2 linked regions of the Neurospora crassa OR74A genome follow. The protein of the gene in region 1 purifies or fractionates together with the protein of each later gene. This does not show direct contact. Links are inferred from orthologs where the notes say so. Each region holds a gene or a part of one and is shown on either strand. Other genes may lie near its edges.

Region 1 (4,854 bases):
CACCCTCGCGGGCACCGCCGAGGCCAACACCCCCTTTGAAAGCAAGGGCAAGGGCAAGGCCGCCGCTGAGTCCGAGGACCACCCCATGGGTGAGGCAGAGGACGACGAGGATGATGAAGATGAGGATGAGACTGAGGTGAGCTAAATCCTGAAGGCATCAAACTTGCTTCTCAAAACACTCTTCTTCGCATTGTCCGTGCTAACCCTTCCGTTTGCAGGAGCCCGAAGCTGGTACGTTAATTGCCTTTAAATCCATCAGCCAACGCCCAATCACGGGTGACGATCGCGCAGCAACAGCTTACGTACAGGAACTAACATGAACAAAAACAGAGGAAGACAACCTCGAGGAGATCGACCCCAGCAATGTGATCAGTGGTCCCCGCACTCGCCAGAAGGAGATCGACTATGCCAAGGCCGCTCAGGACTTGCCTGCCGAGGAGGACGATGAGGAGGACGACGAGGAGTTTGTGCCCGAGGATGAGGAAATGGAGGAGTAGTCCGAGGCTATCTTCTGATTTCCTTTGATGGTTCACAACAACAACAACAACAACAACAATGACAACAGATTCTTGTTTTCTTTCTTCCTGGGTTTCCCCGTTGGCTCTGCGCTTTGCTCGCTGCCAGTGGTTGAGTTTTATGATGATCACGAGCTTGGAGATGTAAGCCGTCTTTTGGCTGATTGCTAAGCCTGATTGGCTGGACCTATTTATGTACGTGAATGTCAGCTATAAGGCCTGGGGTTGTTTGGTTCAATGCGTTGGGAGTTCCCACAATCAGAATTTGGCAATACATGATAAGGGTGTAAGTGATCATTCGTTTATCAGTTCAGGTAGACCGATCTCTTCTGTCAGCCAATTTCAAAGTATCAACATACTACGTACGTTGGTGTATCAGAATACGCTTGATCGCTTGTCTTCACTAACCTAACCCCCATAAGTGGAGACATTGGATGATTCCCCTGTCAGCTCAAGGGCAGTTGGCCTGTTGAGATGGGGTGCCACTAAACTAACCGCGAGGCAGCCTGAAGGGGGTGATATGTCTACGGCTGACCTATGAAAAGGTAATATTCCGGCGAATTCTAGAGTTGCTATGACCATCGAGATTTGATATCGGTCCTGTTCCTGGAGTACACAGCAGACGTCAGGAACCGGAGCATCGCACCAGCCACCAACAAGGTTCGCGATCTTGGCCTGATCCACCGGGTATTCTACGCAGTACCATACACCAGCTTCTTTGACGCCAACATCTGTGAGAATGCATGCCTTCGACTTGGAAAGCTTCAACGATTCTGAAAGTCTCGGATTTGGGCTTAGATTCGCTTCAATAAGTCCATACTTGAGTCTATGCGCCTTGCGCAATCTAACGTGGATCAACTTATTGCTGACGCGACAAGCTGAGAGAGAAAAAAAAAAAAAAAAAAAAAAAAAAAAAGGTAGAGGAAGAATGGAGACGCTGAACGCCCAATTAGCCAATATCAGTGGAAGCAACACGGGCACCTCTCGGAGGGACTTTGAACAACGCCGAACATGAACCCTCCGACATAAAGAAAAATTGAATGATTAAAACCAGATACATTGGGGAAAATAGTGTCAAGTTCTCTCGGAGAGGAAGACGTGACACCAACCCAGATGTTCAATCAACGTGTCCTTGTCAGCATCATGCGGCACGAACAACATTGTACCTTTTAGCCATTACATATGTATCACCCAGACACGGACTGACGTTGTAGTTTATGTACATGGACGGCGCACCAAGGTAACATCTGGCCAGAACAGGCCTAACAACCACCCAAACTAAAAAGGGGGATCTGCCGGCGCTGGCGGCCAAGGGTCCACGGGCATTCAACTTTATTTTCTTTCTTCACCACCCGCACACCCCCCGCCCGACGCTACCTCTATGGAACCTGCCAATTCATCATCTCTAATACCTACCCACACTCTTACAAGTTAGCTAGCATTTACCTGTCAGGATTCTCGAAGACGGATCGACCTAAATTTGCTCTCCATGATGGCTTCCAGGTGAGTGCGATTCTCTTGTACGTTCGTCTTAGCATTGCACCACACCACACGCAAATGCCACCTTTCACATTTCGAAATGCGACTTGGCCTGTCAACTCGACCAAACCCACGACCGACACGCGATGAAGCGAGCGGCCGACCGAGCTGCCCGGCTCCGGTGAACGGGTGTACGATATTGCCACCGGAAGATATCTGCGGACCAAAGGCAGCAGCTATCGATGTTATGGTGGTTGGTTTGACAAGTCACGATTTCTCGACCTGCCCCCCCTGGTCATGGCGCGACGGCCTCAACTACGTCATCGCTCTGGTTTCAGAGTCTCGCCAACACGCCTCCAACCATGCCATGGTAGGATACGATACGAGTTCACTACCGTGATGTGATGCAGTCGCAACAGCGGCGCAACCACAGCAGCACTGGCGACGAGAGCGAGAATGACAGCGAAACCGAAAGCGTCAACTCGATCCATCCACCATGCCCCCGGGTCGTCCTCGATTCGACTTTGACCACCCACCACAACCCCCATCCCACCAACCCCTTAATCCTTCGAACAAGACAAGACAACACCCTTCTAACAATTAGTCCGCTTTTCTTTTTCTCCGGAGTACAGATTTGCACATTCCTCTCTACACCAGCGCGACCCGCGCAGCGACCTTTTCAAGGGCTACTCTGGCTCCAGCGCAGCCGAGCGCCGCTCGGCCAACGCCAGCCCAGCAAGGTATGGCGGTGGCGGCGGATACGGGTACGGGGGCGGCTATGGTGGCGGTGGGAGTTATAACGGCAGCTCGTCAACACTGGGGATGGAACGGGGCGGGTTTAGGCCTGCTACTCCAAATTCAAGGGGCCAGTACAGCGACGCAGTCCTCAACGAACTCGAGAGCCAGAATGATGAGCAGGTGGAAGGGATAATGGGTAAAGTCAAGATTTTGAAGGATGTATGTTTTTGTTCTCTCTTTCTGCTCTCCTCCCTCTCTCCCACTTCCTTCTCTCGCAAGCCACCCATCAACTAACCCCATCCCTCCCCCACAAACAGATGACTATAGCCATCGGCGATGAAATTCGAGACTCCTCCGCCCTCGCCGAGAAGATGAACGAATCCTTCGACCAAACCCGCCTCCGACTCCGTGGTACCATGAACCGAATGCTCATCATGGCACAGAAGACCAATGTCGGGTGGAGGGTGTGGCTTGCCTTTTTCGCTGCCGTGGTGTTCCTCTTTTTTTACGTGAGGTATCTCTAGTATCCTTCCAAGGTCAAGGTTTTTCTGAACTTGGAAGAGAGAAAAAGAAAGAAAAGAAAAAGACAAAGATGGAGGGATATGTTGGTCGGCGGAGTGGTCCTCCTGCTGCTGCTGCTGCTGCTGCTGCTGCTGCGCGGGGCAAAGCGATATGTTCAAGAATGATGGAAACGAGAAAAGAGACCATATATATGCAAAGGAAAGATGGGATAGTATATATATGGCTTTAACGATGGGTAATACCAATGGATGATGAGGAAAACGGAAGGTTCTAGGTCAAAGTGGCTGACTACCTTGTGGGATAGAAAAGGCATGGATATGGGTTGCCCTTGGTAGATTGCGGGCGGACTTGGTTTTTGCATGCTGGCGCCGGGGAGTTCGCGTTTGTTAAGTCGTTCGGGTAGTATCAGAAGTCGGTTTTTTTTGGTTTTTTTGTGGTACCTAATTATTTTAATCATTCTTAATCCGTTCTCCAACCAATGAGGTTCAATTATCTGGTTTAATCCACTGATCAATCATGAAGCTATATATGGGCTCCCACAAACGTGAAGTGGATAATCATTGAGCGTATAACAGACAGTTAATCAGAACTGCGTGTAGACTACCACTGCATAGACCAGACCATTGCTGTAACGAAGATCAAAGTTGTCTTTTGACGGACATTATCTATTCAATCCTGCTTCCCAAGCCACCAAGTAGCTACCCATACTGCCATGATCCCAAGACTCCATGCGCCAGACTCAAACGACCTGTTATTGAATGATGCTTGCTGACCGTTCCTACCACAACTCCTCAGTTTTAATCCTCCCTTGTTTCTCTTTCCGAACCACCGCGGACCTTCATTCTAGTGCAACCTCCTCACCCTTGGACTGCTTCTCATCATGGGACTACTCTCATCAACAGACAACAGCCCACTGATATCCAGACTGCTCCTTGGCGCTCCAATTGTGCTCCGCCTGGCATTTCCCGCAAGACTAGTCCTCAACAGCCGCTGCTGCTGCTGCTGCTGCTGTCTTGGCAGTGATACGCGGCGATGCTGGCCCTGCGCTGATCCCGCTGCCGAACCAGGTCCGTAGCTAACCCGGTGAGCGCGTCTGTGACTGCCGCTCATATTACCACCGCTACCACTGCTGCTTATGCCGATGCCTGCACCTGTACCGACTTGCTCTTGTCCTCCCTCGTTATCACTGCTGTCAAGAAGCTCCGCCTCGGAATCGGTATGCTCATAGAAACCGCTTTGCGCACGCTCCTCGTCCGCCTCTGGAATGTCGTCATCTAGGTTGGCGTTCATGCCTAGACTGTCGTCCGTCATGCCTCTGTCTTCGTCCGCATATTCTCCGCTGTTGTGAGAGCCGATGATGTCGTCCTCCTCTAGCATGTGAGCTTGGTCTTCCTCGTCAACGTCGTCGTCTTCGTCTGCGGCGCCATCGGTTAGATTGACGTGCGTGGGCCGGAGACCACCGCGGGCCATCATCTCGCGCATGCGTTCTTCGTTGGCACGCACGTTGGCTAGCTCGCGCTGTTGCTGTTGCTGCTGGTGAATATTGCTGTTGTCGTTGCGCCCGCGGGGATGGAGGATGGAGGAGCCGGTGCCCGTTGCT
Region 2 (4,228 bases), on another chromosome or scaffold:
ACGTTCGGGGTGCCATTGACATTGTCAAGGGTTTGGAGGAGAAGCGCCAGAGGCGCAAAGAAAAGTATTATCAAAAGTATTGCACCCGGGCCCGCAAGGAGAAGGCTCAGCCCAAGAGACCTCCTCCAGGACAAGGTGCCGAGCGCATGCGCGAAGTTGGTCTAATAATGGCTGGCAAGATCGGCCAGGGCAACTATGTTCTTTCTTATTAAACTCACGGCGAGGGCCGTTTATCAGCATTCACATGGCGAATTATACCCTGGGTTACAACGGCAACTGGAGAGGCATTTTTTTGATGTTTACCACGTTTGGCGGCAGCGGCTTTCTCTCGTCCGGCATTCGGTATTTACATTTTCATCCCCCGGCTCATTGATTACACCTTTTGTACCACCCGTTTCATTATAATTGCATACTCGAAGTTGCAAGCAAGCATCGGGTCGGCTTCCTTTGGGCTGTGCCTGGGCGGACATGTTCTGTATGTTCTTGTTCTTTTCTTGTTAACGTTTTTGTACATATTCTTTTTTTTTCTGCCTGCGCTTGCTCTACTTTTTCCACTTTCTACGTGGCACGCTGCTTTTTACAGAGCGCTCGTGTACACAATCGGACTCTCTGTAGAGGCGGAGATACGGATTTGATGGCCGGGGGTAGATATACCCTGCAGAACCTGTCTTGGAGTTTGAGACCTCTGGAGACGACGGGAGGATGGGAAGGGGACGAGACGGATGGCAACGGATTGGCAATAATCCGTATCAGCGATTGTGAGCTGACATCTTGGTTTGGACATACACAACCAAGTGCTGGGGTTGGGAAGGAAACTCGTCTATACATAACTATAGATCCTCCTCCTACATACCTCAAACAAAGAAGTAAAATTTTCAAAACAAGCCAATGTGTTCCTTTGCTTCATTCAGTGAACCTATTTCTTCGATGAACGTCTGGGATTACAGGCGAGAGCAGTGACGGCGTCTTGACGGGAGATTTGTCGGACTGAGCGGGTGGCATCTGGAACCCTCCTTCTCCTGAATCTTGCATCAATGCCACCTGCATGGCTTCTTGATGCGGTTGCTACGGTCGCTTTGGCAGCTGCAGGCGGGCGTGCATGTGTGGTAGTTTACAGGTACTTATTTCCCGCTGTTTTCTTTTATTTTCTTCCTTTCTTTTGGGCGGTGACGGGCCTTTTGGGCGGTTGTGCCGGGGATTTTGCCCCTGAACGGGCCGTCTTGCTTCCCCCCCCCCCCCCCCCCCGACTGCCCCACGGGCATGCTCGCTCACTGCACCAAGCAAAAAAGGGGAGGAAAAAAGACAGGTCACGTGTGAATGCCTGAAATACCAGGCCAACAGTCACAAGACTATTGCAGGGGCCAGTCCAGCGCTGTCCTCGCCTGCCGTATCGTTCATGCCAGCAGTGCACTTCTGGGCTCGCGTGGGTCATTGAACCTTCTATGGACATCTTTCCTTGTAGCGTGTGCCCGACCGCCTTCGATCCGCCGCCGCCCCGTACACTTTTGTCATAGCTTCCAGCTGCTTTCGCATCGCAACATCCACGACGCCAGCAACGAAGCCTCATCAACACCCTCGCTACGATTTCGCCGGTCCCTCTTTGTGTGCCTAACACTTTACCGGCGCTTTGCACGACTACCTGTTCTTCTAGAACTCCTCGACTTTCCCGTATCATCGACAAAAGAGGTGTTTTCTAGATAATCATTTCGTCACCATGTGGTTGTGGTCTTGGTGTATGTTGTCGCATCCCTATCCCATCCGTCGCCCACGTTACCTACCCAAACTTCCCGTCATCCCTTCGTTCATCACTGTCGTGCACCATGGATATGGAAATGCATAGCATGAACATGCGGACTGCTGGGGATTTGGGAAGGGGTTGTTCATGATGATATTGGACGAACACGTCTGGAAACTCGCAAAGCTGACATGATGGCGCCACCAACAAACAGTCTACGATATCCTTTCCAACCTCGGCCTGCTCAACAAGCATGGCAAGCTGCTCTTCCTGGGTCTCGACAATGCCGGAAAGACCACTCTTCTACACATGTTGAAGAATGATCGCGTTGCCATTCTCCAACCTACTCTTCATCCGAGTCAGTTCAACCACCTGCAGCTGCCACCTGCCACTGTTTCTCCGTCAACGCCGGGACCTTGATACCCGAGCACCTTCCGCCTTCTCCCCCTTCGCCTCGACTCTTCCCGTCCCTACTCCCGTTCCTGGCTCCATACACCGAATCAGATATGCGCGCACATGTGAGGGCGAGATGTTTAGAGAATAATTATGGCTGACATGATTCGTTGTAGCTTCGGAGGAGCTTTCTGTCGGCAACGTCAAGTTCACCACTTTCGATCTTGGCGGTCATCAGCAGGGTGAGTGGATAATCATCTCCTATTTAGGGCTTATGTCAAATCCTCTCGGGACATTGACAAGCCGCTCTACTGCTGCGGTCTCGACTAACAAATGACGTATCTACAGCCCGTCGTCTTTGGAAGGATTACTTCCCCGAAGTAAACGGTATCGTTTTCCTCGTGGACGCCAAGGACCACGAGCGTCTCCCCGAGGCCAAGGCCGAGATCGACGCGCTCCTCTCGATGGAGGAGTTGGCCAAGGTTCCCTTCGTTGTGCTCGGCAACAAGATTGACCATCCCGAAGCCGTCTCTGAGGACGAGCTCAGGCAGAGACTCGGGCTCTGGCAAACGACCGGCAAGGGCAGGGTTCCTCTCGAGGGCATCCGCCCCATCGAGGTGTTTATGTGCTCTGTGGTTATGAGACAGGGATACGGAGAGGCTATCAGGTGGTTGTCCCAGTACGTTTAAGGGGTCTGATGAAATGCGGAGCAGCACAGGATGGTTGTCAGGTAATAACATTTTGTAATATGATACGATGATGACAATGAAGGAACTGGAGGGTCTCGCGATATCAAAAATTGACGGGCGTATTTTCACAATGAACAGATACGCACGAGGCTTATCAGACACAAATGGGACGTTGGAGGGACTAGTGTACGTTTGACCACTGCCGTTATCTGGCTCTAACGGTATAGGTTATCTTTTGCTCTCCGTCAGATTCCGGTACCTATAGCTTGTTCTATTCCCTTAGTAACACGGTGTCTACCTAGCCCGGCCCGAGTTTGAGCGGTCATTCTAGCAATCTGTAGAATCATTGTATGTACGGATGAACGTGAACATCTCCAACAAAGCCTAGTCTAGTTCTCGAATGACAAGGATTCGTTCCGGAGTGATTCCCCAGTAAGAACACGTGTATGCCATCATTTGTTGGGCTGGAACGCATGTGCAGAAGAGACACTACTAGTACGTAGCCCGGCAAGAGCCCCGTCCTCGGCTTCGCCCGCCCACTAAACATGTACACAGTACACTATTCCGGGCGAGGGTCGACCGACGTCATCCAACAATCTGCCACCCGACCCGCGCAACTCCAACGCTTCCGGCACCAGGACTGACATCAAGAACGATCAAGCACCGACCATTGCGCCAGCAACCAGCGTTGTATCCCGATCACCTTGAACAATTCTTTCCTTTGTAACCCCCTTATCGTCAAATCCCTCTTTCAGTCCGTGTCACCTTTCTGTCCAGCCATTCCCTGTGGCTTGTTTCAGGGTGGATCAGTCAGAAGATCAAAAAGCCAGAAGGCTTCGATCATCATCAGCTACATATACAGGACCAAGACGCCGAAGATTCCACTTCGCATGCTTCCCTGGCCATTAGCCGATATCATTTAGTGACGACGTCGACGATCCTTGAAGCATCTGCCAAGCGTTTACTGTGCTTGGATTCCTGTCCCTTTTTCCCTACAGTTCGCAATCTCGTTTGCGACTTGCTGTTTTTTGATTACGCGACAACTCGAACAGAACGAAAAGCCTCCTGTCTTGATATCGCAACTGTCTGGGCTTGTCCGAGCTACCTACATCTATCTGTTTCAGCTACTTGAGCCATTATACCTGATATATCGCGGACAGAAAAGCATCACCTTCCGTGTCATGGCCGACGACACAGACAACCCACCAAACATCCAAATACCAGCAAAGTCGTATGGTTTCCCGCCAGAAGCCTTTGACCCCAGACGGCTTCCCGACTATGATACCAATTTTCTACCCGCTCACGACCTCGAAGCTTTTATCCAAGCCCTCGCGGCGCCCGACTTCGTCCAATCACCAGACGATGCATCATCTATGCGTCTCAACAGCCCAGGTCTCCATAGCCCCAGCAG

Evidence for each region. The genes of interacting proteins can lie anywhere in the genome.
Region 2: the proteins of NCU01741 (region 1) and NCU11181 purify together in Saccharomyces cerevisiae (affinity purification with western blotting; 3 studies listed by BioGRID). This does not show direct contact. The link is inferred for Neurospora crassa OR74A from reciprocal best matches to the Saccharomyces cerevisiae genes BET1 and SAR1.

Annotation. Positions count from the first base shown.
Region 1 is NC_026502.1:2,582,006-2,586,859, reverse strand, and holds NCU01741 (SNARE complex subunit), read left to right. Parts: upstream 1-1,789; 5' UTR 1,790-2,004; coding exon 2,005-2,018; intron 2,019-2,626; coding exon 2,627-2,951; intron 2,952-3,049; coding exon 3,050-3,256; 3' UTR 3,257-3,754; downstream 3,755-4,854. Other genes in the region: NCU01740 (histone H2A.Z-specific chaperone chz-1), read left to right, coding at 1-136, 219-231, 331-497; NCU01742 (hypothetical protein), read right to left, coding at 4,098-4,854. UniProt on the Saccharomyces cerevisiae protein: SNARE required for targeting and fusion of ER-derived transport vesicles with the Golgi complex.
Region 2 is NC_026503.1:3,651,016-3,655,243, reverse strand, and holds NCU11181 (Ras superfamily GTPase), read left to right. Parts: upstream 1-1,247; 5' UTR 1,248-1,714; coding exon 1,715-1,733; intron 1,734-1,949; coding exon 1,950-2,093; intron 2,094-2,304; coding exon 2,305-2,370; intron 2,371-2,476; coding exon 2,477-2,817; 3' UTR 2,818-3,237; downstream 3,238-4,228. Other genes in the region: NCU00382 (hypothetical protein), read left to right, coding at 1-212; NCU11180 (patatin-like phospholipase domain-containing protein), read left to right, coding at 3,999-4,228. UniProt on the Saccharomyces cerevisiae protein: Small GTPase component of the coat protein complex II (COPII) which promotes the formation of transport vesicles from the endoplasmic reticulum (ER).